Linked DNA regions of Coturnix japonica. The protein of the gene in region 1 interacts with the protein of each later gene in a biochemical or structural test. Links are inferred from orthologs where the notes say so. Each region holds a gene or a part of one and is shown in the gene's direction. Other genes may lie near its edges.

Region 1 (10,142 bases):
ACTATTCCTGAAAGTCAGCCATCCCAAGAAGTTTTAAACAAATCAATGCAGTAAGTCAAATAGACACCAGCCTGCCACAAATGTATGGATTAAAAGGTCAATAGATTTTTATGACTTTACTATAATTAGTTGAACCTCAAATGTCACTGTGCATTCATACTTGCTATATGAATCATAATCACAAAGCCCATTATCTAAACATAAAAGCATTATATTTTGCTCATCAATGCTTTCTCACGACTTGGTTTAAAAACATAAGCTGTAGCAATAGACTCAGTCTTTCAAGATAAAGATCACAGTTTATCCTCAATAATCCCTGTTTTGTTTTAAACATGCTTTGTAGATTCATTTGAAAGAAGAATTACCTGTTTAGGAATGTCAACCAAAGAAGAAGCAGCAAGCAGAGTGAACGTGTGCAGAGTAACAATGACCATCTTGGTGGAAGGATATGATGTTACCAACTGCTGAAGCAGCTGCCGGGAGCTGGAGGCCAGGCTAGCATCATGATGCATGTGCTGTAGAATAGGGATCAACTTCAATTTCAAGTCCACAGGTGTGGCTAAACCTGTAACAGGGAACAGAGACACTGTCAGGCTATTGTACTGGCTTTTTCTGGTACTAAGACACACATTATTTGGGGTAAGGGCAATGGTATAGAGGTATTTTATATACTTATGTATAAAAAAGAAGCCCTGGATATCATCACTCAGTATTTGTACATACCTTGAATCATCTCACTGATTTTGTTACATATTCCTGCAGCAAAGTCCCTGTAGAGAAAAAGACAAAGCACCAAGTGAAATGAAAGCAAACAGGCTAAAAAAAAAAAATCAACAGAAGAACCAAACAATGAATTTTAATAATAAAAACCACCACAAGAATGCTTGCCAAAACTTAGTTATTTTAGAATCCCTACACAGGTGCATAATCAAATAATAAAATGGAAGCTTTCAAATAAGTTTCATAGGTTTTTTTAGACTCGAATTCAGACTTCCTTACACTTATTATCATGACATATAACAGCTGTGAAGGATGTTCTACCACCACTGAAGAAAATACTAAGTTCAGTAAGCAACAGTGGAGCTGTTATTCTTTGCAATGTGAAAAACGGGGGAGAAAAAAATTCCACCTTACTTTGACTGTGCAGAAAAGTTGGCAGCAGCAAAAATAGCAGCTTCAACTTCCACATTATCATGGGAATCCAAACTCTGGCGAATACTGTGATGTGCATTCTTCCTTTCTGGAATGATAGACGCCATGCTGCCCAACATCCTACAGACACAGATCAGGAAAAGGAGCAAGCACAATGACTGACTATGAAGTAATGCAAGATGAAATCAAAGGGAAGCACAGAAGGACTGGCTTAAAGTCTTGGCTTTTATATAAATGAGGGCTCTTTTACATTCACTACAGAAACAAAGACACACTGACAGCAGGCATATTGCTAAAACATGATTATGCTGGTATCAGCCTTCTGTTAGTCATTTAATGAAAACAAACAACAAAAAAGTAACCATATTGGAGTATCATTAGTGGAAAACAATTGTTATAAAGTGAGGAGCACACCATGGCATGGGGTACACCATTTTTAAAGACACTTTTGTGCCCAAGCTCTGATATCAGCGCAACAGATTTAATGCTAAAATGCATTACTGCACGCATACACAAATATATATCAATATATATCATGCGATTTAAAAGTCAGTCATTTTGGTAGTTTAGGAGAATTAAAATAGCATTTACAAAGTTGTTTCTACCTTTTCTATTCTTCCCATTAAATCTTCAAATTGAATCAATACATGTCTGAGAAGTCAAAATTAACTACATACTAAGAAAGGGAAAATTCTAGAGAGTGACTATAATGAAGCAAACAAACATCAGTCTCTCATCATTTGTTTTTTTGAGATCCTAAAGCATAAAACCATAATCTCAAAAATATAAAAAGAAATGGGTGTGTGAGATAATAAACCAAACCTCTGTTAATGACTCTCATCTTTCAACAGTGAGAACAGAAACAGTTCTGAATAGATAGGAGAAATGAATAAGCAAGGGAGAAGGAGTGCTCTGTTCACATTTTAATTCAGTCACACAGGAGTTGAAGGAAGATGAAGAAAAGATTATAATGCTGGGTACTGTTAGAGATACAGAGACCAAAGCAGCAGGACAGCAACATTAAAGATATCTTGAAGTGTGGTTTTTTCTACCCACTGGATTCCCATCTCACCTGGAGCCATCTGCACAACTCTCACATCACAAATACAAGCATGCAAAAACCTTGTTCTTCCACTTACACATCTCCTGCTCACTCCCTATGAGATGTCCCCGCTTTTGCCTTTATGATGAATGTGGAAGACAGCTCCTACACTCTGAGAAGTAGCTGATTTTGTTAGAACAGATTAGCACACCAATAAAAGAGCTACAGCTTTGAAGTAAGTTAGGTTCACTTCTGTGCTACTTACCGAAGCGTGATAGCCCGAGCAACAGGATCATTGCTATGAATCACTGAGAAAACTCTCTTCACAAACTCATCCACGTTGAGGATCTTCTCCAGGTGCTTCTCGCTCTGCTGCGTAACTTTCAGCACACACAGCCTCAGGAAGTTGTTCCTATCAGAAGACACACGTTTATCTTTACTGAGCTGTTTGATAATACAGATTCAAAAACTTCTAAACTAAATGCATTACGAAAAACATATTTAATCACAACAAAGAAGCTCTGTGCTTTAGAAATGGCTCAAGCAGGCTACCAGTTAAGGATAGAATATGAACGCACTGCTATATGTAGCACAAGTGACAAATTTCTTACTGCCTCACAGCACAAATAACATACAATGAATGTGGGTCCAACAAATCACAGAATCACAGAATGACCCGGGTTGGAAGGGACCTCAAGGATCATGTAGTTCCAACCCCCTGCCTGGCAGGGCCACCAAACATACACCTTTACTAGATCAGGTTGCCCAGGGCCCCATCCAACCTGGCCTTGAACACCTCCAAGGACGGGGCATCCACAACCTCCCTGGGCAGCCTGTTCCAGGACCTAACCACTCTCCTAGTGAAGAACTTCTCCCTAACATCCAACCTAAATCTTCCATCTTTTAACTTAAAACCATTTCCCCTAGTCCTGCTATTGTCAGCCCTTTCGAAGAGCTTACTCCCCTCCTGGGAGTAAGTTCCCTTCAGGTATTGAAAGGCTGCAACCTTCTCTTCTCCAGGCTGAACAAACCCAACTCCCTCAGCCTGTCCTCATAGGGGAGGTGCTCCAGCCCCCTGATCATCTTCGTGGCTCTCCTCTGGACCCTTTCCAAAATCTCCATGTCTTTTTTGTACTGAGGGCTCCACACCTGGACACAGTACAACAGATGGGGCCTCACAAGAGCCGAGTAGAGAGGGACAATCACCTCCCTATCCCTGCTGACCACCCCTCTCCTGATGGAGCCCAGGATCCCATTTGCTTTCCGGGCTGCCAGAGCGCACTGCTGGCTCACTGTCTGTGTGCTACTGAGAGCAGCTGCACAGCAGACCCGGCTCGGTTCGGCACAGGGCACACGGAAAAGCTCAACTTGAGGCATTCACTTTCCTCACAGATGGGACTTGCAGAATTGGGCCATTCATTTATTTGTTACGATTCCGAAGGCACCTACACAGAACTGCCTCTAGCGGAACTAAAGCACGGTACTCACCCGACCCTGAACACGTCGGCCAGCTTCAGGAAGGCGGAGTTGATGAGGATGGGGAATGGATACTTCTGGAAGAGCCGCGGGAAGCGCACCACGGCCTCGCACTGCTCGCCGAGCTTACCGGACCGCAGGCCTGCACAGAGCACCACAACGCTCACTGCTACAGCGGCACCAACCGGGCCTCTCTCGACACCCCATCCCCGCGCTCCCCCATCCCGCTCCTCACCCTTGTCCAGCTCCATGAGGGCGGAGTTGGCGTCCAGCTCCTGCTCTCCGTACCCCGCGTCCGCCAGGAACGACTTCCCCGCCGCCGCCATCGCGAACCCCGCTGCCGCCCAGCGCGCATGCGCGGCCACCCTCCCGCCACACCGACCCTGCGGCGCACGCGCACTCCTCTACGCGCGCCAACAGCCGTTCCCGCCCCGCCTCTCCTCCGCTGACCAATCCGAGCGGAGAGAGGGCGGCGCGGCGCGCCACGGGTTGTCCAATGAGGGAGTGGAGGTGCGTTTGGCGGGTCGGTCGGTGGCGGGAGTTTGGTGGCGTTCCGCGCGCTCTCGGCCATGCTGTGCCGCGCGCTGCTCCGCCGTGCCGCCGGGCACCGTGAGTACCGCGAGTACCGTGAGTACCGAGCTTACGGGCACCGGGGGCTGCCGTACAGGGAGCCCGCACGGCAGTTGGGAGCGGGGTGTGCGGCCCACGGGCCCTTCGCTTCCCAGATCGCGGTGGCCGGTGCAGTCACGGTCCGCTTGTCTCGTTTCAGGTCAGTCCTCACCGCTTCCACTGCAGCATCTCTTGGATGGCTATAGGTGCAGTAGGGAAGATGATCACCTCTCCTACGGAGAAATCGGAATGCCGGTCCCTCCCTTCGGATGCAGCTTTTCTTCAGGTACGGCCGCATCCTGGGATGCCGCGGTGTGTGGGTCCCGCTGTAAACTCGTTTCTGTTGAATGTTTCAAGATCTTTTGGCAAGCTTCAGTGTTAGCGTGTGCTGATAACAGGGAACGTGCACCTCCACGTCCTACATGTTGGGTCTTCACAGAATCACAGAATGACCCGGGTTGGAAGGGACCTCAAGGATCATGTAGTTCCAACCCCCCTGCCTGGCAGGGCCACCAAACATACACCTTTACTAGATCAGGTTGCCCGGGGCCCCTGGGCAGGTCTTGGAGACCTTTAGGGCAGAGCGCTGTTGTGTGGTACTCTGGTTGTGCCATGGGGTTATTACAGAATCGCTGACCTGTCCCAAATTGCAAAAGACCCATAAGAATCATCGAGTCTAAGTCCTGGCTCCGTGCAGGACCATCCAGCAATCAGACCCTAAAGGCCTTTCTCCAAGGCTGCTCCTCCATCTCACTTCCAAGGAAAGCACTTGGGAAACATCCAAGTGGACGGACAGGTCATAAAGATAGAGGAAAGGAACTTCCATCAGTGCTGGTGAAAGAGGGCATTGTCTTAGAAGCTGCTCCTTGACCCGCTCTATTTCCTATATACTACAGTTTAAGAACGGAATGTCTAGAAATAAATGCTTGGCAATATTTGTGCATTTTGAGAATGGAGATCACTGTGTAAATGTTACTTTATTTTTTCTAGCTGTCCATTAGGTGTGCACCCCACTTAAAGTGCCTGTACTCCCCTCACAAAGGGAAGAGGCACAATTGTGGATCAGCCTTGTAATAGATGATTACGTTTCAATTTTCTTTTCAGCCCCAAATTTTGAGCACATATTGGCAGTTGCAAATGAAGAAGGGTTTGTCAGACTGTATGATACTGAAGCTCAGAATACCACCAAAGTGATCTTTAAGGGTAAGTGTTCAGTGATCTTCATTTGAAGTATGGGATGCGCTGGAATCAAGGAAAGCTTTATGCAGGCTGTTTAAACTCAATCTGGGAAGTACTTGCATCTTTTTATATACTTTGCAGAGTCCTGTTTACAAAGCAGCCGTGTGAGTGTGCTCTTACAAAAGCAATGGGAGTTGAATGGTTGAGTGTTTGCCTTGCCTGAGGGAAGCTACAAAGGAGCAACCTGTTTTCGGATTCTGATGTCTGATGTTTGTTAGCCTCCTGCAAAATACTGTCATGCTGTACTGGACATATGCACTGAACTAATTTTGGCTTTTGTTCTCTTGTCAGAATGGCAGGCTCACTCAAATGCTGTCTTTGATCTTGCCTGGGTACCAGGAGAGCACAGGATTGTAAGAAGCCTTTTCCTATCTAAGTTTATTCTTAATGTTTTGGCAATGGCGTGCAGAATATGATGAAAGCTTTTTATTCTATCCTCTGAAGGTCACTGCTTCAGGAGATCAGACAGCCAAGGTGTGGGATGTGAGAGCTGGGGAGCTGCTTGGCATATGCAAAGGTCACCAGTGTAGCCTCAAGTCAGTTGCTTTTTCGAGGTTTGAGAAAGGTAAATGTTGGCATTTCTTCTTGTCTTTTTTTCCCCCTTCTTCTCTCCAATTACCACTTCTATTCTTACGGGGCTAAAAAAGGGCTTTGGAATCTGTTGGTTGCACAAAGTACAGGTGGGCTGAGCAGTGACCTAAGTAGTGTTGGAACCTTGCAGTGATCTGATACTGTCTGCGTGTCTCTGATCTCAGGCAGTTTTAAGACATGGCATTGAAGTCACTCAGTCCTCACTTACAAACATAAATCTGGAAATACTCTTTGTAAGCACTTTTTCCTACAGTAGCACTAAGGAAAGACCATAAAGAATCTAGACAGAAAACACCAAAGGCCTGATTGTTGTAGTTCTAGGGGCACATAGATGGCATTGTGCTGGATTCAGTTCCTCAGCTCTTGGGAATTAATAGTGCTCTATCTCTCTCTCTCTCAGCTGTTTTCTGTACTGGAGGCAGAGATGGAAACATCATGGTTTGGGACACCAGATGCAACAAGAAAGGTAATTGAACTTTCAGATATGTATTAATAAAGCTCCTTAGCTCCTGTAGAAATAGTGCTCCAATGTACTTACTGGAGTCATGCTTTTGATTACAGATAGGTGATACTTCGGTAAGAAGATTGCCAGGTAATTAGGTACTGCTTTAGTACAGTGAGAGGACGGAATAGGTAGAATAGATCAGACTGTGTCTAACAGGTTTTTTCACTTTGTCTCAGATTGGCAGCTTGATGTCTGTGTTGCCCAGATATAACCCTGTGTATTGTTTAAGAGATAAGGTGGTACAAAACACATCATTGTGTAGGACAACACTGAGATGGGCTGGGTGAGAGCGATTCACTCAGAGTCATTGGGAGGGGGTTAATCAATGCTGGAAAGTTTCCTACCAGAATAGGAAGGAGCAAAGGAGATTGTGAGTCCTGGGAGAAACTGAATGTGTTGCAGGAACGCCTACATGCAGGGTGATGGTTCTACTCTTCTGCTTCCTGGAGCTTCTCCCTCACCAGTCAGTTCATGCCCTCGTACTTCTCAGTTCCCTGCCACCCGCAGTTTTCTGGAATGTGTCTCATCATTTTGGTACATAACTAGCAGTTGATGTTTTCAGAATACATTACTGATTTTGAAAGCTTGTCTCAGCTGCTTTTTAGGATTTATTCCAAGCTGCTGCCCGTTAACGTGAAAATGGTGGCAAAATCAAATAGGTGTGGAAACTGACAATTTGTATGTATTTGTCTTTCAGATGGATTTTACAGGCAGGTGAATCAAATCAGTGGGGCACACAACGTGGTTGACAAGCAGACTCCTTCCAAGCTGAGGAAGAAGAGGCAGAACACAAGAGGACTTGCTCCCTTAGTGGTAGGTGCCAGGAAGACAGGCAGAACAGAGACCTCTGCTCTGAGGACAGTGTCATGCATAGTGGCTTTCCTAAGTAATTGCAGTGAGAAATATTTGGCTTGAATTCTGTAAACACTCTAATTTGTTTTTGCGGAGTTAGGTTTTTGTGTCATGGTCACTTGCTCTGGCTAATTTTAGACATTGTTTTCTAATAACTTACATGCCATCAGAGCTGTCTTTGTGTAAATACCATGTGAAAATACATCTGTTTTTTCCAGAGAGAAAATGAGTGGCTACATTTTCTGCTTTTGAAGGGTGGGAAAGGAAGGGCTCCAATTTTTTTTCCTTTCTTTCCCTTTTTATTCCCTCCACAGTACACCTCCCAAATGTGACCACATAAACAACAGCCTCTCATTCCTGAATAAGATCTCTTATTCCATCTATTAAATGCTCTCATGGAACTCTCTTTTTTCTGACCTGTGAGGTGTAATCTTATGCTGACCAATTCCTGTGGTCCTTTAACCACAATGCTGAGCAGGGTTAAAGGATTATTGTCTCCTAAATGAAATCTAGTTTTCCACCTTCTCCTGCCTGCAATGAGCAACTTGCTGGAGAACACAAAGCAGACTCTAGCAGGAGGGAGCCTGAGAAGCTCAGGCTAATTGTAGAGCAAAACACAGGCTGGCCTATGGACAAGAAAAGTGTAGATTGCTGGAGAGGTGGTGTCCTCAATATTCACTTGGCCTTCAGCTTAGCAGCAAGACTCTGTTGACCATGAAAGGAAACGAAGTTCTTTTTTCTCTCCTCAAGGATTTCCAGCAGAGTGTAACTGTGGTGCTGCTTCAAGATGAACATACCCTTATCTCTGCAGGAGCTGTTGATGGGTAAGAAAGGAAGATACATGCTTTTCTGTTTGTTTTTCTTAGTGACACAGAAAGATTGGGAGGTTCTTTGTCTAAGGTCACAGTGGCTCACAAAGCTACCATTACTACATAGATTGCTCCAAAAGTAATGCCTCCTGTTTATTTCCATGAAAACTATAACAGGTACATAGAGCACAGTAACACTATTTGATAGAGCAAATTCTCATCTACAAAACACTACTTTTCAACATAGTCACTGCCATTAGCTATGCATTTTTCCCAGTGATGAGCAGGATCCTGCATGCTGTGCTCATAAGTATCTGCACCAGTAGAGGTGACCCACTGTTGCTGTCGCCACTGCTGAAACATACCTCTTACCTCCTCAGTGTGCTCGCATCCACCATTTGGACTCCAATGTCCTTCTCTGACATGAATCGACATAATAAATAGAATGCATTACTTTTGGGGTATCCCTAGTATTAGAATAGAGTTAGCAGAACCTGCTGCCAGCTTGCATTGCCAAAGCTGAATAGTTCTTTCCTTCCTTACCCAAGACTGCTGTGCCTAAATGGTAAATATTAACTTTAGTATAGCTATGGGGCAATGTGGATGCAGTAATGTATGTAATGTAAGCAGACTATTGTTAGGCAGAGAGCTGTTTTGGGATGTGAGGAGGAGACTGGGGCTTTAAATTTGTATGGGTGTACTTGAGAAAATGTTGTGTTGAGTTACAAAGGATACATTCTTTTTGATGCCAGATCTGTTGCAGCATCTTGGAGCTCAGGAAAATATCTTGCTTTTCAGTACAGAGATTAATCTTTCAGGTCTTTCACATTTCACTGTGGCCAGAGCCTTTCTGAGACACATAATATTGACTCTCCATCCCATGGTTCATGATAGAGACTTGCTTCTAGAGAGCAAGAGAAACCTCAAAGGGCTTCATTTAAAAAAAATGGAATATAAAAGCATCTTTGTTATGTCTTTTACTAGTTGAGGAAAGTTGGCTTGTGGGCTTGTGTTTTGTGTTGTATTAGTTACACAAAACAATGCTGCTTCCTCATCCATGCCAGCAGAACAAATGTGCTTTCAGCTCTGCTCCACTCTTGCTCCATTGTGCCATCACTGAACAATCCTTATTAATGGGCAGCCTGTCTTCCTATGTTTTTAGAAGGCTTTGTCTGCACTGCAAAAGAAGGTTTGACTTTTGGCAAGTTGTAGACACCTATACTCATATATTTCAGTGTGATCAAAGTATGGGACTTGCGCAAGAACTATGCTGCTTACCGTCAGGATCCTGTGCCTCTGAAGTCTTTTTTCTATCCTGGCACCAGCACTCGCAAGCTGGGTGAGTTAATGGATAGTTCAACTCTATTTGCACTGTATCTTGCAAAGACAGCAGTGAGGAAGGGTTTTTACATTGTAACCTTTGAGAGCGTACTTGAAACTGTTCAGTGCAAAACCGATACTGTTATTGTTTTTATTGTTCTTACTTTGTACCTGACACCTTACAGTATAACACAGTTATTGCTTTCAACCTGTCTAATAGCCGTCTTGATGTAGTAATGGTCATTATTATTCCCAATAACATGAGGGAAATCTTTGAGGAGCTGACAATGAAATAACTTGCCAACAGGGAAAGATTTTGCTTAAGCCTAAATCATCAGCAAATCAGCAGATGCTGTAAGCCATCAGTGCCACTAACCATGAGGATTTATGTGTTTTTAACCTCTGCTTCTACACTTGGATGTTCCTGCTATCCATTTGAAACTATCAAATAAGTGGCTTGCCTGCTCTGAAGCTGAGAATTCTAAGTAGCACTCTGAATCCTCATGAGAAAATGTTGGTGTTGTGCTAAAAACTTTTGTTCTCCAGC
Region 2 (10,178 bases), on another chromosome or scaffold:
GCAATTACGTTAATGACTGTGAATGGGGCTAAAAACAATCTTGGATGAAAATGAGTGAGGGGCTGAATGAAGCAAACAATTCATAGCTCGGCTCCAGGAATATTTCCAGGACGAAGCCTTGTTTTAGGGACCATCTCACCCACAATTGGTGCTTGCTGGGACTCTATTTCCACTCTGCTGGGTCCGGTGTCTCATCAAAATGCCTTCATAAATGGAGCAAACAAGGGCTGTATATGGCAGGGAAACAGTCGATTAACACGATCCAAGTTCTTTTAGGGGCAGAGTTAATCAAGCATTCAGCGTTTTGTCATTCTTGTCTTTCTTTCCTGGGAAAATCCTATTAGTTATAAAATCACTTAATTGGGCACTTCAAAGAGCTGATGGGAAAACAGCCTTCGCCGGGATCTAAACGCCATTCAGCTGAACACTGGGCTCATTTAGACTTCTGCTGGAGCGTGAGTGTTCCATGAAGAGCCTTCATGTGTCCCCCCCCCTTGAAAGAAAAAAGCTTGTTAGCAGAGATAACAAGAAATCATAGAGATGTGCATCTTGCTGAGGACTGGATACCTGTGGTGTTGTTTTATGGCTTGGTCCCCATTGGATCCCCATGCTGCCCCTATCCAAAGTGATGCTCTTATCTTAAGTGAACGTGGAGCTCTGCTGCTTGGAGCCTGGTGGTTTCTCAGTGCTGAGGGGTACTGAGGAGGGGGACTGTTTGCTTTGTGCCCTATGGGGGATGGATTCAGCCCCAGCCCCTCCTCAGGGAGCTGTGCCAAGGCTCTGTGTCACAGATCTAGCACAGGGCAGGAGGGCTGTGGGGCAGAAGGGCCCTTTGCTGGGAGCACTGGTCAAAGGGGCTTTGTATGGAGGCATGGAAAAACTGCCAACAAACAGACACGGTGATCTCAGTCCCCTCATTATCAGGTTGGGCAGAAATGGAGGCTTTTGTAGAGCTTGAGTTCACGGTGCCTTGAAGAGTAGCAGCGTGTCACTGCCTCCATCATCCCGGCTGGCACAAAGGGGCCCGTCTGTCTGAGCCCTTCATCTTCCCTCTACGTGGATCCATCCAGTGGGAACGCTGTGCTTCCCATCAACCCGTGTCTCACTGCACCTTCCAGCACCACCAGAAGCTCAATCACTGCTGCCTTCCATCCAGCCCCCAGCACCGGGGTGCTGCTCATTGCATCCCCATTGAGGACGAAACTCCATATCAGAGCTGTGCCTGGGCATGCAACTCCACCACCGAGCTGGGCTGACTCACAGCTCCCTGCATGCAGTGAATAATGTTTGCATACGTGTCTGTGTCTGACGCTACTTCCTCTGCCCTCGGCATCCACTGGGACCTACCTGGGGATAGGAAACACTCCCAAAGGATTTTCCCAGCCCTGATAACAAACATCCTGTCTTTTTTTCAGTGCACTTTGAAGGCACTTTGAAGACAGAAGATTTACATTCGTTGAGTATATCCCTTTTTATTGCTATCAGCCCTTAGGATCTATTTGTCAAGGAGGGATTCTTCCACAGTGACGCCATGGGGAGCTGGGACAGCCCTTGTAATGGGTGAGGATGGGTTGGGGGGTGACAGCTCTGATGTGGGGCTGCACCCAGAGGGGAGAAGGAAGCGCTGCCCCCAGCACCGCTCCTGGTTCCCATCCTGCCTGGTCCCCAGTTGGACCTTCCTACCCTGCATTGTGGGACTGAACATTGTGAGTCACCTTTGGGCTTTTCCTTAGTTCCTGTATCACTTTCCGCATTAATCACACTTTTTTTTCCCCCTTTTTGCTGATGATGCCACTGCAGACTCGACCACGCACTGCCTGACCCAGACCCTGACGCTATTCCTCTCTCCACTTCCCATTTCCTCTGCAAGTTGGTTCCACACCAGCATCTCAACCCCACCCCATCCCCATCCCACCCCCATCTCAACCTCATCCCATCCCAACCCCATCCCATCCCCACCTTAACCCTATCCCAACCCCATCCCCATCTCAACCCCATCCCAACTTTATCCCCATCCCCATCACAACCTTATCCCATCCCCACTTTAACCCAATCCCAACCCCATCCCACCCCCATCTCATCCTCATCCCATCCCAACCCCATCCCTGCCCCCATCTCATCCCCACCTTAACCCCATCCCAACCCCAACCCCATTTCAAACCCATCCCAACTTTATCCCCATCCTCATCTCAACCTCATCCCAACCCCAACCCCATCTCAAACCCATCCCAACTTTATCCCCAACCCCATCTCAACCTCATCCCAACCTCATCCCAACCCCATCCCAACCCCAACCCCATCTCAAACCCATCCCAACCCCATCTCAACCTCATCCCAACCCCATCCCCATCTCAACCCCATCCCATCCCAACCCCATCCCAACTTTATCCCATCCCCATCTCAACCTCATCCCATCCCCACCTTAACCCCATCCCATCCTCAACCCCATCATCATCCCAACTTGATCCTATCCCCATCCCATCTCATCTCCATCCCAAGCCCATACCAACACCCTCCCATCACCATCCCAACTTCATTCCCAACCCCATCTCATCCCCATCTCATCCCAACTTCATCCCCAACACCATTCCATCCCTAACCCCATTCCATCTCATCCCCATCCCAACCCCATCTCATCCCAACCCCACCTCAACCCTATCCCATCCCAACTTTATCCCATCCCCATCTCATTCTAACTTCATTCCCAACCCCATCCCATCCCCATCCCCATTCCACCTCCATCCCAACCCCATCCCATCCCCAACTCCATTCCATCTCCATCCCATCCTATCCCCATGCACACCACAGAGGTTGCCCTTCCACGTGCTGGCTCCCCCTGGGATGCAGCCAAACCGATTGCATTCATCTCACATCGCTTTGCTTCATTCTTGCCTCACTGCAGCATCGCTCCTGCTCTTCCTCCATCAGTCATCATTGCAGATCACACTCCTCCATCAGCTTCAAGAAGCTGCCAGCTCTGACAGCCTCATTCTCACCCCACATCCAGAAGGATCCAACCCCAAAGCGACCACCTTGGCCTGGCCCAGAGCTGCAGGAGGAACTGATGCTGGACAACACTGCTGTGTGACGCACTGCCTGCAGCCGGACATGTCCAAACATATCCTTTATCTGCTGGGAAATGCTGGTTCAGCCTGGGAACGGATGCATTGGGGGGCTTTGCACGGGGGGCTTTGCACACTGCAGGGCTCAGCTGCAGCCCACCAGCTGCAGGCTCACCCAGCTTAGTGCACCGCCTGCCTTTGTGCTGCCATCTCCTTGCACCCCAAGCACTGTTTGCTGCCCAAACCCAATTCCTTCCCCCTATGCCCCCTGCAGCCCACCCAGCTGAGCCCTGGCACTGTGCTGTAACCCTGACGGGGAGCTGCACAGCGCTCAGACCTCCCCTGCTGTGTTTTGGGGGGGGTCATTTTGCAGCGGGGCCACACGTCCCTGCATGCAACCCGCAGCTTTGCTGCATGCAGGACATGCACGGGCTTGTTCCTGCTGCTTGCTGACCTCAGGCCAACCGGAGCTCCCCAGCCCAGCTGCATTGCTGGGGGGTCCGCTGGTAGAGCAGAGCCCACCTCGGGGGCAAAGCACCCAGGGGTGGTCCCATAGGACCCCCACCCCAACCCCCGTCACTCCCCATCATTGCAGCATCCCGTGGTGACCCAGGAGGGGCCCTTTTTACTCTTCAATTGGCAAAGCCGTATTGAAGACCCTCCCGCATCCTTCGCGTTGTATGGGGGGGGGGGGGGTCCCGCATCGCACAGTAGGCGACGACCCGCTTTCCATATGGGGGTCCGTGCAGCCCTATGGGGGGGGGCACTGAACCCCCCCCCCGATAACAGCTGCTCTGCGGTGGGGCGGGGGGGGGAAATCCCGAGCGACGCCGTGAGGCCCCTCCCACCCTCCCTGCCCCGATATAAAGGGCGGAGTGCGGGGCTGGGAACCGCAGAGAGCGACGGGGAGTGTGGGGTGAGTGCGGTGCTGGTGTCGGTACTGGGGGGGGGAAAAGAAGGGAAGGGAGAGAAACCCCAATGGGGGGTGATTGGGGACGGGGTCGGGGGGGCTTTGACAGCTCCGCTCCTCCTGTGGGCCGGACCGGGTCGGACCGGGACATGCTGGGACTTGTCTTGCTCTGAGCTCACCCCGCTGATAGGAAGCGGCTATTTTTAAGTGACCCATCCCGGGGGGGGGCAGAGCGGTCCCTCATCTATTAACGCAGTTCTGTCCGGGTTCAATGACCCCCTGTGCCAGCCTGCCCTATAGCCGAGATCATTAACACCCCAGGGGTCCTGGGGGCTCCCATTATATGCACTGGACTCATATCCCCCCCTCTATATCCCCCTCCCCACAGCCGCAATGCCGCTGGCGCAGAGCAGGACCGGCCCGATGCCGTGCAGCAGCAAAGCGTGCAGGAACCTCTTCGGCCCCGTGGACCACGAACAGATCCGGAACGACTTCGAGGAGCTGCTGAGGCAACAGCTGGAAGAAGCTCAGAGACGTTGGAACTTCAACTTCGAGACGGAGACGCCCCTGGATGGGCACTTCAAGTGGGAGAGGGTCCTGATGGCCGAGCAGCCCCCCCGGGTAGAGCCCGGCAGCAACGGGAGCTCAGCACCACGCAGGGTCCCCAGTAAGGATGGTGTCGGTGGGGCTCGTTGTGGGGCAGCCCAGCAGAGCTCGGAGCAAACCAGGGTCGGTTCTGCACAGCACTTGAAGCGGGGGCAGACCACTGTTAAAGGTGAGTGGTGGAGGGGGGATGCCCCTCATGCCATGGGACCACCCTTAGCACAGAACCATCTTTGGAGGGGAGAGGCAGCAGAACCAGCCTCGGGTGTCCCATAGGTAAAAAATACCCCCATATGGATCACCAACCTCAGTTCCCATGGCCCAAAAGTGGCTCAGCAGTGGGGATGTGATGGGACCAAGTGATGCACAGCCCCATAAATGCGGGGCTTTGAAGCTATGAGCCCACCTGGCTGGGGCTGGGGTTGGGGTTGGGGTTGGGTTGCTGCCCCCTCCTTCTGCTCCTGATACATCCCAACTTCTCTTCTTGCCCTGCAGACTTCTACAGCTCCAAGAGAAGAGTCGTCCATGACAAGCCCAGGCTGTGACTGCTGCTGGGGATGGATGCTGATGCTGCCGTGCCCTGGAGGCTGTCGTGGCTCTTTCCCTGCCCTGCACTGTCTGTACAAAGCGATACCGAGTCTATAGTTCCCTATTTATGAGTAGCTCTGGGGTCCTGAGTGGCCCATGCTGTGTGCAATGTATAGGAGGAGCCCACGGGAAGGACTAAGGACTGGAATGGAGCAGGTGGGGCTGAGGGTGTCTCCTGCCCCGTGCTGGTGTTGCCCAGCAGCATCCTGCTGTCTCATGGAGCAGCCCCATGGCCCTCCCTGCTGTGGATCACTGGGTGTGAGCCCTGCATGGAGCTGCTCCCAGTGTGACTCAGTGATGTGTTGGTCACACAGTGGTGACAAATGTACTTGGAGGTGTGTACCCTTGAGGCCGGCACAGCTCGGGAGGCACTGGGCTGCTCCAGGCTGTGCTGCCCCATTGGGTTCTTGGCGTGGTGTTGGCTGGCTGTGCATCGTGCAATGCTGACATTAAGCTGGATGTTGAGCTGCTGCTTGGCACTGCCAGCAGGGGCTGCCCCTGCAAGAAGTGCCAGCTTTTCTCCTGGACTATTTCCTACTCCAGAGCCTGACCTGGCTCCTGCTGTTGTCTCTGTGACCCAGGGATGCCCTATAGGACACAGCCCTGCTCTGGGTGCTGTCGGATCTCAGCACTTTCACTGGTTTCCCCCTCTCTGTATTGGGATTGGGATTGGCACGGGGTGTTCCCATGTAGAGGAGGAGGGTGCTGCTCCCAGCTCATACCGTGATGCACTTTGCTGTCAGAGATGCTGGCAAGTGCCCAGCATTCAATGTTTATTTATGAAAACACTGTTTTAAGGCTTCTTGGAAGGGGAAAGAACCTGTTTGTCTGCGAGTGTAACTGAATAAACACTTGTCTGGTGGAAAGAGAAGGGGTGGCTGTTAATGGGAATGGCTGTTAATGGGAATGACTGCTGTGGGGTGTGCTATGGGGGGTGGGGGGATGTTATGTGTGGGTTGGGGGTTGCTTTAAGGGTGCAGCCACAGAGGTGCAGTTTGATGCTGGTGGGGAAGGAGCTGTGATGTATCTGTGGGGGGGTTTGGGATGTCCAGCTGTGGGATGGATCCAGCAGGACAGGGATGGGGGCTCCTGCTGTGGGTTGGGGTCTATGGGTGGGTTGGGATCCATTGCTGAGCCCTTTGTGGTGCTGCAAACAGGAAACGTGTGCACGTACCGGCAGTTGAGTGCAACCCCAAAGCGGAAGGCTGCCTTGAGTAAGAGAGAGAATGACGGTGTGGGGCCGGGAGGTGCACAGCAGCGATGCAGGCTGTGTGAGGCTGATGACCCCCCAGCCCTGGGGAGCCCCACAGTGTAACCAGGCAGCACCACCCCAAAACTGAGAGCACGTGGAGAAGGTAAGGTTTGCTCAAGGGGGGGTTTGGTGTTAGGGATGCAGGGCTGATGCCTGGCCCTATAACCATCAGTGGTGACCCTCAGGCTGCCCCTCAGCAGGAAGCATCTCAGACAGCAGCCAGTGTTGAAGTGCCTTTGGTGTTTATTTTACAGCTTTTTCCGTGTTTGGTGCCTCTGTTTCATGGCACGCAATGGGCTCCGCTCGCTCTGTGGGGCAGGGGGAGGCACCGAGGGGACTTCTTGCATCATAACCTCTCCCATAACCCCCCTAAATGCTGCTGCTTTGGCTCTTAGAGGGGCTGGGACCATAGAATGGGGGTAACCCGCATCCTGACCCCCCCCTCCCCTTCCTTGGGGCTCTGCTGACCTCATAGGATGTCCCCTCCCCCCACTGATGCTGTGGGGTGGTGCTGCATGGGAGTCGAAGGGGATGGGGACCATTTTGGGGCCCATTCCTTATTTCCAGTTCACTTTAGGGCTTGGCATTGCCAGAGGAAGGGTGGGACAATGTGGGGGGTTCCCCCTCTCTCACTTCTAGTCCCAATTTGGGCACATTTCAGAGCCATGAGGTCGAGGTGGGGGTGTGAATAGAAACCTCCCCGAGGTCACAGGAGGTGACTCAGGGCTGTGAAAGCTGGAGGAGGGATGTTCAGAGATGCTGAGGAGCTCCTGGAGCCTCCATCACCCCCCACCTCCCTGCACTGTGCCATCCAAGCAGAGAGAAGTGCCTGTTTTCCTATTGCCAAACCCACTCAGGTTTCACCCTTCTGGGCTGTTTAATGGGTTTCTGGTTGCCCTCAGCAGATCCCCACTGTGAGCCATGGCTGAGCAGCGTGTGGGCTCCAAAGGGCGGCGGATGGGATCCAGCCGGAGACGGCAGCTCCGTAAGGATGCGGGTGAAGAACCACCCTGGGCAGCAGCTGTGATGCAGAGAGTCCAGGATGTCATCCAGGAGCAGCGTGGGGATGCACAGGGCTTCGTCACTCGTGGAGATATGCAGGTAAGGGATGGGGCTGGGGGAGATTGTGGGGTTCATTCCAACCCAGCCGTCCTATGGATCTGTTTTGTTGTTAGAAACTGCAGGGGGAGGTTATTCCATGCAGCACAGAGGAGCTGGAGCTGCTCTTTGATGGGATGGATGCTGCTGGCACCGGGCAGCTGAGCATTGAGGAATTCACCTCTGGGCTCCGTAAGTGACTCCATGCAGCCAGTGCTTTGCAATGGGGATGCTCATGGGCACCATGGCTGTGAGCACATGGGGTTGGAAGCATTGAGATCTGGGTGCTGAGGGCTGTATTTCTGCAGGGCAGTTCCTGTGTTCCCAAAAAATCAGTAGGGATCATCGCAGATGGAAAGCAGCATCACGGAGGAGCTGTTTGGTCCTCGCCAGCCCAACGTGGGAGGAGATGGACAGCGAGGAGAAGAAACACTTTGCAGCCTTCATGGAGCAGCTGGGAGTGGATGACAGATGGGAAGAGTGAGCAGCCAGCTGAGCACCCCTGGGTGCTTCCCATAGCTTAGTGCCCATGTGGGCACAGCTACCCCCAGGACCACACATCCCCTATCATAGGGACCCCCGTATGATCCATCCTTTCTTGCTGCCCTGCTCCTCTCTCCCGGCAGGCAGCAGATCTGGCAGCTCTGGGCCAAGCTGAGGAAGGATGAGCCCCAACTGATGGGTAACTTGGAGGCTTTCCTGGCCAAGATGAGGCACCGCATCCAAGAAGTCCGGAGCAAGAAGGAGGCCTTGGAGGAGACCCTCAACAAGTGAGTCCCTGCCAGGGAGGTGCACCCAAGGAGGAAGAAATGCACCCTCCCAGCACAGAGGATTCATGTTATGTTCATGTTTAGGCTCTATCTACAGCCATGCACCCCATGGCCCTGCTGGGTGAATGAACCTCCGGGCTGTCTGTGGGTCTGGTGGGCACTGCAGGGTCCCCAGACCCACATCTATATAGCACAGTTTGACCCTCCCAACCTCCCACCTCCCCCCCACCAGGCGTGTGGCTGAGCACAACCAGGAGGTGCAGCAGCTCTGTGAGGCCCTGGAGCAGCAGATCCAAGAGGAACGGCAGCGAATGGAGCAGGAGGTGGGGGATCCATCCACCCCTAACCTGAGTTACCCAGCACCCCAAACCCAACTGGGTGCTGATGTTCCCATTGCCATCACAGAGCACGGCCCGGAGCCGCCTGCACTGTGCAGTGCTGCAGCGAGCACTGGATGCAAGAGATAAGGACATGCAGCGCTTGGTTGCAGCACAGCAGGAGGTGAGCTGACCCCAAATACTGGTGGTGTAATTCTTTATGTTGCATTCACTGCTTTGGCCCAAACCTGGATGCTCTCTGCAGTTCATCACATTGCACCTCCATCTCTCGCTTTACCTCCATCCCTGTGATCCCTTCCATCCTTGGGAGCACTTAAACTGAGTCTCCCCACCCAAAGCCCTGGGGAAAACCCATCCCCAGCCCTCAAGCAGGGGGTGACCCTGCTGTGTGCCTGCAGCTGGAAGCACAGTGCCGCAGTCTGAGCAGCACACAACGAGCTGCCAGTGCTGAGAACCAGCAGCTGGAGGAGAACAACCGTGCATTGGAGGAGCAGCTGCAGCACATCCATGCACAGCTGCAGCAGACACATGAGTGCCTGAGGGCTGCCATGGCTCAGCAAAGGGCTGAGGAAGCGCGGTGAGTTGCACATCTGGCTGCCTTATGGGAGCTGCAGCTGATGGGGAATGAGCTGGATGGGTTTCAGCCATCTCTTGGCTTTGGGATGGTGTGAAAGGTGTGGGGATGTGGTGTGATTTGGTATGATTGGGAAGAGATGTCAGGATTATCAGCACTGTGCTGATAGGGCCCTCCCAGCGTTGGGCCAAGGACATGGGTGAGCTCTGCTGGCTCAGTCCTGAGCAGAGCAAGGCCCATCACTGCTTCCAGGGCTGCAAAGGACCCCAAAGAGGGGATGGAGGAGGTGAAGGGATGCAGTTTCCATTGTGACCCCATGCTCTGTGCTTACAGGGATGGAGTGGAGGCAGAGCTGCTCGGTGAGACACTGCCATCCCCGCAGGTACTGCAGGTGTGCACAGTGTGGGGGTGTTGGGATGTCACACAGAGCAGCATTGTGCTGTGTGGGTGCTTGGGAAGGGGTGAGCAGCAGCAGACAGGGCTGCTACCCCCATATCTTGGGTGGGAATATGTGGAAACTGAGGCAGGAAAGCTGAGAATCGTTTCAAATGGATACAAGACTCTGCCAAGCTGGTTTTGTTCCCCTCTTTTCCTCTCTTTGCTACAGATGAGTCCAGAGCAGCCCTGCTTGGAGATGCAGGTCGGGTTGGGTTCCCAGGGCAGCGAGCCCAAGCGCAGGAGCACCCACCATGTGTAAGGAGTCCTTACACCCACATCCTCCACCTTCCCCTGGCCCAAATCCTTTCCTTTCAGTGCTCCATCCCATTGCTGGGCTCCGTCCCCCCCCATTGCTGGGCTCTGTCCCCCCCCCATTGCTGCTCTCATCCCATTTTCTGCTCTTCTCAGGGTTTGGGAAAAGCCCCCATCAGACACAAACCCATCACGGCTGCTCTCTGTAGAAGAGGATCCCTTCCCTGAATTCCTGAAAGAGGAACGTTTTTCTGGCCAAGGCTCTTTGCTAAGAGAGATGAACGATGCAATAG
Region 3 (10,279 bases), on another chromosome or scaffold:
TATACTGTGTATTATGTAAATAACTTCGGATTTAAAGAAACAAAACCAGAATGCCATGCTTAATATTATGACATGTATCCATGCCAACCTGGCTCTCCCCCTCCCTCCATTTTAGCTTTGGGAGAAAGAAGGAAAACAAAAGACGTTCTGCAGCTCATGTCAAACAACCTGTTCCCCACTTCCTCCAAGAAAAAAAACATGTCAGAATCTCGAGCTATGAAAATGTTTTCAAGTCCTCAGTCTGCCATTTGTACTTCACAACATTAGACAGCTGAAGAACTTACCTATAAACCTTAATATAGTGCTATAACTGCACAAATGGAACATGACCAGCACCACAATATGGTCATGGCCAAATACTTTAGACAACCAAACTGGCCTCTGGAGAACCCGAACCTGCAGGCTTGGCTTCCATTGCTTGGACTGGGACAGTAACATTGTTAATCAACTCTTGTTCTATTTTATTAGCTTTCTGAGGAACACAGGTCTCAAACTCCACTGGAAGCCATCTGAGATACCATTCAAATACCAATGCAGTACTAAGAACAACAGAGAAGTCCCCAGCTCTCTGAACCTCATGCTACAACCACAGCTTCAGTGTAAGGGCTGCCAGCTCCCAATCCCACAGAACAGGATTTCTACCCTGATAGGTTCCACACATCAGAAAATAACAGCATTGGAACAGCAGAACTGTTCCTCAGCTCTCCATGGAGTCAGTTGCAGGCAGAGCCGAAGGCCCAGACTTCCAAGCAGCCACTTCTGACTCCCAAGAACTGGCTTGGCAGTAAAACAAACCCCCCATGCTTTAATTCTAAGACTGTATTAAAGCATTGCACTATAGTACTGCATTAATGTAATGTACCAGGAAGAATCAGGACAAATAAGCTGAACATAATATTGTTTGTATTCCTACCATAGTAAATTCTTTGCTTTACATCATGAGCTCAAGGCTTCAAATTTAGGAAAAAAAAAACAAGATTGTAAAACATTTACGTATTTTTCACTGTCATTTTAATCCAGACAACTCAGGTATTTCAAAGTTTAGCACCGAGTTAATTCTTAACTAGAGCTTTTTTTTCCTAAAAGAATAACACTGACTGTTGGAATGATGTACTAAATTGTGTCAACTGCTCTTTAAGCCTTTCAATTACCGCGCTATCAAACACCAACAGCAAGGCTATCAAACTGCAAGAGCTCCAACTTACAACCTCAAGGCACACAACGCCATCAGGTGAAACTAAAAACGAAATAGCGGAGAAACAGAAGAGAAACCAACGCGGCCGCTCTCAGCGCCTTCAGACCATCGGGGCGTTTTAACGCTGCTCACGACTCACCCGGCGATCCCCGTGTGCTGAGATCTCGGCGTTACAACTGTCCGAGGGCTGGGGCCGCTCCGCTCGGCGGGGCTCAGGCTGCGGCCGCTCCCAACAGCCGCCCCGGGGCTCGGCCGTGCCCGAGGAACCGCCGCCGCCGCAGCCGGAGGGTCGCAGCCCGCAGTCTCACCAACACGTGTTCCGGACATAAACTTCCGGGTTGGGGCCAGAATTGGCTGCGTAATTGTGTCCCGTGCACTACTTTTGTTTTCAGCCCTTCCTCCCTTTTCGGATCCCGGTTATGAGGATCGCGAGGAAGGGTGAAGAACCTCCCGGCACGGCAGCGCCCAACGGCACCGAACACACCCGGCCCCTTCCCCCCCCCACAGCTCCGCTCGGGGTCCGTTCCACCCCATAACCCCGAAACGGGCACACAAAGGCGAACGGCCGAGCCCGGCCCGTGAGCGGCGTTACCAGGCACAGAGCCGCCCCCACAACCGCCACATCCCTCCCGGCCCACGAAGTTCGCGTTGAACCGAGGAGCCGCGGCCTCCCCCGCACCCGGCCCAGCGGGGACCACGAACGGGGGCGGCGGCGCGACCCACCGAGAGCCGGGACCGACAGGAGCCGCGGGAGGAGCGGGAGGAGCTGCGGGCACGGGCTGAGCGCGGCCCACACGCCTCAGAGCGACCCGCGGGCCGCACCGCGCTGAGAGGAACCGAGCCCCGGGGCACCGCGGCCGCCCACAGCGCGAAACGAACCCCAGGAACCGACGAACGGGCGGAACGACGGAGCCGGACTCACTCACTCTCTCTGGTGCCTGCTCCTCCCGCAGCCGGTCCCCGAAGTCTCCGCCGCCGGCCCCGCCGCTCGCCGCTTTCTAACTCCCGGCCGCCATCTTGGCCCTCCCTCCCCTCTCACAGGGAGGGGGAAGGGAGGGGGCTGGGGCCGCCCGCCGCCACGCACCACGTGACAGCGCCGCGCGCCGCACCCACGTGACGCCCAACCCGCCTCTGGCGCGCGCTCCGTGCCACGTGACCCGCGGCCCCCCCCACGCTCGGGCGATCTAGGAGGTCACGTGGTGTCCGCCGCTGTTCCGCGTCCTTCCCCCCCTCCCTCCGCCGCTGCCGGGTCCCGCCGCGTTCTCCGTGCGCTCCGCCATCACGTGACGTGCCGCTCCTCTTCTCGTCCCGCCTCCTCGGCAGCTAATTCCGGAACAAAATCGTCATTAAAGCGATGCCAACGAGCGTTTCCGGCATCCTCCAAAAGCGACGTCTGAGCGCCCGGGCACGGCTCCAGGGTGGCGGCCGCGGTGGGGAAGGACGATCCGGTCCCGGTTCCCGCTGGGTGGGGGAGGGGAAGGCGGAGGCGAACGGCAGCCCGCGGTCACGTGATCGCGCTCTCTCCAAGATGGCGGCCGCGGCGAGGGTGCGGCGCTCTCGCGAGATCTGCCTCCTCGCGAGGCACGATGGGAAAAAAAAGGGGGCGAGCTGACGTGAGGGCGCGTAGTGCGCATGCGCGGGTTGAGGCCGCGCTGAAGGGGCGCGCGATGCTCACGCGCATGCGCACTGTGAGGCGGCGGGCGGGGACCCGCGGCCGGGCGGTTCGTGCTCCGCTATGGGCGGATCTAAGGCCCGGAACGGATGTGGGTGGTGCTGCTGGAGCGGTGCTGTGTGCAGCTGTGTGCAGCTGTGCAGCTGGGCCCTGCACACAGATGGGAGCTCTGAGTGCTTCGTTGTGCTGGCAGCACCTCGGGGCCGGCTTTACCTCACTTGTCCTGAGGAGAAGGAAGGGGACAATGGAGCTGTGTGGGGAACAGACGCCTGTGGAACACGGCTTTGTCCTGACGAGTGTTTTATGGCCACTGATGTGACCATCGGTGCTGCAAACAGCTGAATACTGAGAACATGGTTCCTCAGCTCATTGTACATCTGCAGGGCGGTTCTCACCATGGCAGCCCTCACTGACACCTGTGTTAAACAGCCCTGAAGTGTCGCCGTGCTTCTAGAAGGACAATTTCAAAGAGTTTGAGTGTAAAATCAAAGGAAAGCGTGAGAAGCCCCGAAATCTGCTTAAAACAGAACAAAAAGCAGCAGATTGTGGTCATTCTCGGCTGGGAGAGGTGAGTTGTTGCTATTACACAGAATTACCACAGAATTACACAGGGCTGGGCAGCCCAGGCCGGTTAGAGTGATTAGAGTGACCCGGTTTCCTTTGTTGCCGTAGAGCTGAGTGTTGTTCAGTTTCCTTTGCCCTCTGGTGGCGGCCTTTAATTGCTTTAATAGACGCTGGTCGCTCCGAAAGTAATGCCTGCACTGCTGCCATAGTGCTGGGATAAAGTACTTCACCAATGCGATGGCCAATCGGTGGGCGTTCTTCCCCGGGGCAGCCAATCAGCGCTCCCGCTGCCCCTCGCACGGGCCAATCAGCGTCCAGGGGACGCACATTTAAACCCCGTCCCCGGGAGCTCGCACTGTCTTCAGTCTGACAGCCAAGGGGGCGGGGCTTGGCTCTGCGCACCAATCAGCTGCGCGGGAGCTGTTATCCGACAAACGGCTCAGCCAATGGGAGCGCGGCAGGCGGCGCGGCGTGTCCCCGCGGGGCGGTTGGCGGTGCCGGGGGAGCCGCTCGGCGGGGGCTGCTGGGCGCCGCGCCGCCACGGCATGGCTAAAGGTGAGCGGGTAACGGGGCGGGGCGTGTTACTATGGGGGGTGGCGGTGTGTGGGGAAGGGCCGGGGGTTGGTACGGGACCGGGCGGTGCTGGGCTGCGGATAGAGCTCCCGGGAGGAGCGGAGCGACGGAGCTGGCGGGACTCCTCCCCCGCGCGGTGCGCGCAGCTCAACGGGAAGGGGCTGGGCCGCCGCACGGAGACCTTTAAACATGGCGCAGGACGCGGGGAACGGGACATGACCGCGGGACACGGCTCACATGGCGCTCTGCCCTCCTCGCTTCTAGGCAGGAACATGCCCAAGGCCGGGCCGGGCGGCGCGGACAAGGCGAGCCCCGAGAATAACGACAGGAAGAGCCCCGGCCGATCCCGGGCCGGTGGGGTAAGTGTCGTCCGGGCTCCCGGTGCCCGCTGTGGGTGCGACCCCGTTGTGGGGTTCGGAACCGGGGCGGGATTCGGTGCGTCCTCACCGCATTGAGAGCGGCGGGAGCTGCTGTCAGCCAGTGGCTGGGCCCGGGCGCTGCCCTGCTCTGTTACCCCGCTGTCCTCTATCTCCCATAGAGGCATCAGGCCCGATCTTGGTCTTCCCTTTGTATTTAAACCAAGCTGGGGTGAATCTTGGCTATTGCACCAACACCCAGAGATCCTCAGCAGCCCTTAATGCGTGCTGCTGTGCTGAGAAAATCCGTGTGGTGGAGGCTCTGAACCCTGGCACAGACAAAGACGTGGCAGCCGGGAGTGCCGCGCTGCAGGCGGGGGCTGAGCGGGGAAAGGAGCGGCCCGAGAACGTGCTGTTGTGGCTCTGTCAGCGTGTGCCCACAGCACGAAGCTCCCTGGGCAGGTGGGATTGTTGCTGGCCCTCCAGGAGAGACAGCTGGATGTGGAGCTCCTGTTAAACAGCGAGAATTTCTCAGTCTGGGTTTCACTGCTTGTGTTTGTTAAAACCCAGCGTTGTTGTACGTCATCCTTAAAGCTCTGCTTCTGGAAATAAGTATCATTTCTGATGGACTTATCTCGTTGTGAGAGTGGAAAGCTCTGTCTGATTTCCCCGGGTGTTCTGCTGTAATCTTAATTCCTACTGAAGCTTTTAACTGATCTGATTTTGTGTGTCAGCTGTGTACTCTGATACTCGTTTTTGTTAATTAAAACTTTCTTATGTACTGTGTGTTTTGTTTACTTCTTTAGTTCTGGTGTGATGAGGTATATCGGAGCATTTATTTAGTCTAATGGCTGTATTTGAGCTATTTTACTCTTCTTATCCAGTGGGAGCCTTTGAATGTTTTAAAAGAAAATACATGCGGAACTTGGTTGTTTTTTATTTCAACTGAGTTGCAGTATCTGTAAGTGCTTTTATTGAGTCAAAATACAGCCAGGATGAGCTTGTTCTGACCAAGCCGTGTCTGTTTGTCCTGACGTTGGGGCCTCCCAGCTCAAATCCCTGTGCCCAACATACATATACATGCAAGCTTGGCCTGGTTGCAGAGTACCATAAAAGCAGAGGTGTCACAACTCCTTTAAGCTTTGCTGTATCTGTGCTCCTCCATGCTGGGGTCTTCAGCCTGAACCAGATTTTGAGCCTCAGCCTTGTGCTGCTTGACCGTGCCAGAGTTTCTTATGCCATCAGCAATTTTAATACTCCATTTTATACAATATAATGGATAAAAGGATAGTACTGCTCATCTCCCAAACCTCAATGAGATGGATTTCCAAAAGCTATCTTGTGTGCTGCTCAGTAGAACATATCATTAATTGCAGTAACGTTTGACACCTAATAAGCACTTGGGTAAGCTCATGCTTTCTTGGCTATGTGAGGTATGTGCTAAGCTTGGGCAGTTTCTGCTGTTATTGGTGTTTTCTTTGGCTTGCACTCTTTGAGAAGCTCAGGGTTCACAGGGTAGAAACTGGTGTTCATTATGGCTATCCTGTCCTACTACATTGCACGTGAAAGTCCTCTTGAACTGACAGTTTTGCATTAGTAAAGTTCTGGATGTTTAATCTAGATACATTTTTCATGTCATAGAAATAGCAGTGGTAGCAAGGATGATGTATTAAAGCAGTGTAACTCGCATTAGTGCAGTCAGCTGTCAGCCTTGGTCTTTGCAGTACATTATGGATACCAACTGGAGGCTCCCAGCATCTCTGTAATGTGCTTTGTATGTGAATCTGTTTTAGGAGAATGCGTTTACTGGTCAATCCAAAATCTACAGCTACCTGAATCCCAACAAATCTCCTGGTGCTCGCTCCCCACTTCAAGAGGAAAACTCTGTCATGTATCACGAAGGGAAATGTCAGGGCAAAGCACTAACTGAAACCAACAGAAAAGGAGATGGTAAGATTGATATTCAGATCGCTTGCTTTGTGAGATGTGCTTTCCTCCCCGCCCCCAGTTTTAGAGCTGTAGGAGCTGGGCAGGTCCACTGCCCCAATTGCTTTCCCAAATCCTTCACCTCTGTCAGCAAATAGAGTCTACAAGAATGATGGTGTCCTTATCTTTTTCAGTACTGAAGTCACAGATTTACCAGGTGATTATAGAAAACAAACAAAAACCCCACAGCTGGTTTGTGTTTAAAGGTGTGGTTGTTAAGTGTGGTAACTTGTTAAAATGTTTTGATTCAAATGCATTTGCAAGTAGATGTTTGAAGCCCTGTTGAGCACTGGGAAACATATGGGCTGTAGCTCCCAGCTTACACCAAGAAAACTAAGATGGCTTTAGGCTTCCCTGCAGCGGAGCAGTGGCCTTTCAGCAGTGCTTCATTTCTCTAGTGAGATTGAAGCACCCATCTTGGCCCAAGGGAATTAAACCTGATAACTGGCTTTAAATTTAAACTTTATTCAGCTTTAAGATGTGTCTCTTTACCTCTAAGTCAGACAGCTGAGGAGGATGTGGTCAGCTCAAGGTAGGATATGCTCAACCAAGAAAATGTAACAGACCTTTTTCATGTGTCTGCCCTTTTGCTCCTGTGGATTGGTCTGAATGCTATGGGCCCCTTAGCACCAGCTTCTGCAGTGACTGATTGCAGCAGTGTGGGGTGCAGAGACTTCTGCTCCTTCAGGGCACGTTGTTGATTCCTTAGTAGCAACCTGAGAACTCAGGTTGTGTTTGTACCACTGACTGTGGTGTGAGTTCAAGTTAGGTTCACTGCTGTTTTAACCTGTGACAAAGTACTTGCTCTTGTTTATACCTGTTCCTTTTCTCTTCTTGTACTTCCTTCTATACATAGCATAGCAGTGACTACTTGGAAATCCAGTGACAGTCTGCCTGGGTTTTAGCAGAAAGAGACTGTATCACTTATTCCCTTCCTCTTTCTCCTATTTGACAGAACTAGAAACTTGAAATAGAAACTATTGGAATCCATGTAAGAGTGCTCTGGTGTAGAAGCTCTTGAATTCAGAGCTGTTCTTTATTTCTTTGTCACTAGAAAAAAAGCCTGGTGGCAATATAATTGAAGGTGCTATGAAACCAGAAGACCAGAAAGATAAAGAAAGTGGGTGCAATACCTCCGTGCTCTCTTCTGATCAAAAAAACCAAGGAACCGTAGAAACTGAGAAGACACTCCTGCCCTCAGACTGTGCTGGTGAGGCCAGTGCAAAGCCAGCTCAGAAAAAGGTGGTTAAAGCAAAACGTGGACCGAGGAGGAAGTAAGTGACTTCTGGAACCGTAGAGGCTTTTCTGCTTTGGGCCGTTTTGCACTGGGGGGTCCCTTATGTATGTTTTACCTTCAGAGGCAAATACCTATAGCCAGACCTGGAATTATTGTTTCCCTTGCTTTGCTCCTCTTTTGGGGTGACAGATTTTAAAGAAGATTCTTTTTCTTTAAAAAGAGTGTATTTAAAAATACAAAATAGTGCTCAAATTATGCATCGGACTTGCAGGTGACTATTTTACAAGTGAGCAAGGCAAGAAAAACTAATTTATGAACCATTAAGACTTATTCTGTGGACAAATTATCTTGTCAGAAGCACGATGTTAGATTATTGTAGCTGGGGGAGTGCTGGCTGAGTTGATAAATTCACTCATGTTAATGAAATAATGTAACCTAACATTAATGAATTCATGGCCAAGCAGCTTTAATGACCTACATTTCTGGGAAGGCACGTGGGGAGACTTCAAAGTTGTAATGTGTTTTTTAGTGGCATCTCATTCTCTTGTGGTAAAAGGATTAGTAATAGAGTATATAGCTTCTGGCTTGGAGTGCAGAGTAGTGGCAAGAATGTAGATTCATACTGATCAATGTTTAACATAAGCTTAAAAACATGTATATTTTTAGATACCTGTTTTAGAGGTTTAAATTCAGAAGTAGTTTAAAATGTGTGTTTCCTGCTTCTGTTATTCCTTAGAACACAAGGAAGAGCTCCAAATCGAAAAGTGACAGATTATTACCCAGTCAGAAGAAGTTCCAGGAAGAGCAAATCTGAACTGGAGGTAGTGCTTCTTGATGAAATAACAGTACTTAATGTGGTAGCAAATGTTCACTGGAAGTATTGTTTAAGAATGTTACTAAATACAGAAATATTGGTCCAGTTATTCTTAGGATGGAATCAAAATGATAATGCGTTTTTGGGAGATGTTTCTTTATTCTATCTCTTTACAACTTAGTTTTGCTAGAAAGAGGGATGGCGTGGAAAAACTGAATGTCATTGGCCAATCATTTCCTGTTAGCTATGGAATGAATTGCAAAAGCTGTCAACAAGTAACTTGGTCTTGTTTTTTTGTCCTGTTACTTCCTCAGACCGAGGAAAGGAGGAAAATCGATGAACTAATTACAAGTGGGAAAGAAGAAGGAATGAAGGTAACAGCAGTGCTGACACTATGTGTTGTTTATGCAGTCTAGCTCTTAAAAGCACAGTGATTCTCAAAAAGCAGCAGTGTGTGGCTCACATTGTGGCTTCTAGGATAGTGACAGAGAAAACTTCTGTGTAAGGGTTGTACAGTTTACAGGCAGAGGCAGGAAGAATCAAGTATACAAGAGGGTAACTAGTTCAGCTTGTGCGACTGATCTTTCTATATCTCTGACATCTTTTTTCCTGTGCATGCTAATGGTACCCTTGAAATGGAAAAGCTTTGTTCTATCAGAGTGCATGGTAGTTATGTTGCATCCTGAAGTCACTCTATTTCTTCTGTTAGACAGTAAATTGTGCTTCCACAGCTTTGTCTGTGACATTCAGATGCTGTGCCATGTCATCTTAAAGACAAATGTCATGCACTCCTTTCCTAGTAAACAGTTTATTGGCAGTCATGTGAGTAGCTTCCTGTTTCCCAACTGACTTTTGTTTCTTTTCAACTCAACAGATTGATTACATTGATGGCAAAGGGAGAGGAGTAATTGCTACTAAACATTTTAATCGTGGAGAATTTGTAGTTGAATATCATGGAGATCTCATAGAGATCACTGATGCAAGAAAGCGGGAGGCTGTGTATGCTCAAGATCCATCCACAGGCTGCTATATGTACTATTTTCAGTACCTCAGCAAAACGTACTGGTAAGCTGCTTTTGCTTTGTATGTTATAGATGAATAGTAGAAACTTTTGAATGCTGGTTTGTTTGTTTCTTGTTTTCATACAGTTTTGTTAGTCTGTATTTTGTTGGCTACCATGACTTAGGGAATCATCTTGGAGCACTGTTTTGCTGTCCAAGAGCCCTCTGTACCTCTGGGCTAAAAGGAATGATGGGCAACTCACAGCCCTATTCTTAGAAGCACAGCACAATCTATATGGAGAGATGTATCTACTTGGATGAGACTTCTAGCTCTGCCATTGACTTCTTCCTAAACTTTACTGTCCTGTGAAATTAACCACTTTTCCTGAATTGTGATCGTTTTCTTTTCGAAAAGCGGTGGAAGAGAAAATCACTCCCTGCAAGTGTCTCTAACTGGGTCTTTCTTCCTTCAGCACCTGTCTCCAACCACACATGCATGCTTTATCACTCTGCTGTGGGGTTTTTCAACCCTCAACTTGAGTTCTTCCAAAGTCATTGCTCTGGGAACTTTTTCCTTTTTTCTTTCTAAGTCTTGTATGTATTCCTAATTCTTTATCCAGTTTGCACTCTGTTTTCCATCTTTTAATATTGTTCGTGCCTGATGTGTTCTTGTTCTTCCAGTGTTGATGCTACAAAAGAAACTAATCGTCTGGGAAGACTGATTAATCACAGCAAATGTGGCAATTGTCAAACAAAGCTTCATGACATTGATGGTGTGCCTCATCTCATATTGATAGCTTCCAGAGACATTAAAGCAGGTGAAGAACTGTTGTATGACTACGGAGACAGAAGCAAAGCTTCCATTGAAGCTCACCCGTGGC

What was found.
Region 2: of the proteins of DTL (region 1) and CDKN1A, one has a biochemical effect on the other in vitro, tested with the Homo sapiens proteins (3 studies listed by BioGRID, with this or other methods). The link is inferred for Coturnix japonica from reciprocal best matches to the Homo sapiens genes DTL and CDKN1A.
Region 3: the proteins of DTL (region 1) and KMT5A form a complex in vitro, tested with the Homo sapiens proteins (2 studies listed by BioGRID, with this or other methods). The link is inferred for Coturnix japonica from reciprocal best matches to the Homo sapiens genes DTL and KMT5A.

Annotation. Positions count from the first base shown.
Region 1 is NC_029518.1:19,446,676-19,456,817, reverse strand, and holds the start of DTL (denticleless protein homolog), read left to right. Parts: upstream 1-4,162; 5' UTR 4,163-4,239; coding exon 4,240-4,297; intron 4,298-4,439; coding exon 4,440-4,565; intron 4,566-5,383; coding exon 5,384-5,482; intron 5,483-5,809; coding exon 5,810-5,871; intron 5,872-5,962; coding exon 5,963-6,083; intron 6,084-6,509; coding exon 6,510-6,575; intron 6,576-7,311; coding exon 7,312-7,427; intron 7,428-8,216; coding exon 8,217-8,290; intron 8,291-9,510; coding exon 9,511-9,614; intron 9,615-10,142. Other genes in the region: INTS7 (integrator complex subunit 7), read right to left, coding at 366-565, 724-770, 1,135-1,272, 2,460-2,606, 3,683-3,812, 3,906-3,996. UniProt on the Homo sapiens protein: Substrate-specific adapter of a DCX (DDB1-CUL4-X-box) E3 ubiquitin-protein ligase complex required for cell cycle control, DNA damage response and translesion DNA synthesis.
Region 2 is NC_029541.1:1,945,618-1,955,795, forward strand, and holds CDKN1A (cyclin-dependent kinase inhibitor 1), read left to right. Parts: upstream 1-3,856; 5' UTR 3,857-3,978; intron 3,979-4,360; 5' UTR 4,361-4,365; coding exon 4,366-4,747; intron 4,748-5,070; coding exon 5,071-5,120; 3' UTR 5,121-6,029; downstream 6,030-10,178. Other genes in the region: RAB44 (ras-related protein Rab-44), read left to right, coding at 7,337-7,516, 7,591-7,705, 7,822-7,993, 8,140-8,283, 8,516-8,606, 8,689-8,784, 9,020-9,198, 9,529-9,888 and 1 more. UniProt on the Homo sapiens protein: Plays an important role in controlling cell cycle progression and DNA damage-induced G2 arrest. Involved in p53/TP53 mediated inhibition of cellular proliferation in response to DNA damage.
Region 3 is NC_029530.1:4,251,332-4,261,610, reverse strand, and holds the start of KMT5A (N-lysine methyltransferase KMT5A), read left to right. Parts: upstream 1-3,872; 5' UTR 3,873-3,877; coding exon 3,878-3,986; intron 3,987-4,268; coding exon 4,269-4,363; intron 4,364-6,153; coding exon 6,154-6,310; intron 6,311-7,400; coding exon 7,401-7,620; intron 7,621-8,319; coding exon 8,320-8,404; intron 8,405-8,711; coding exon 8,712-8,771; intron 8,772-9,271; coding exon 9,272-9,462; intron 9,463-10,079; coding exon 10,080-10,279. UniProt on the Homo sapiens protein: Protein-lysine N-methyltransferase that monomethylates both histones and non-histone proteins. Specifically monomethylates 'Lys-20' of histone H4 (H4K20me1).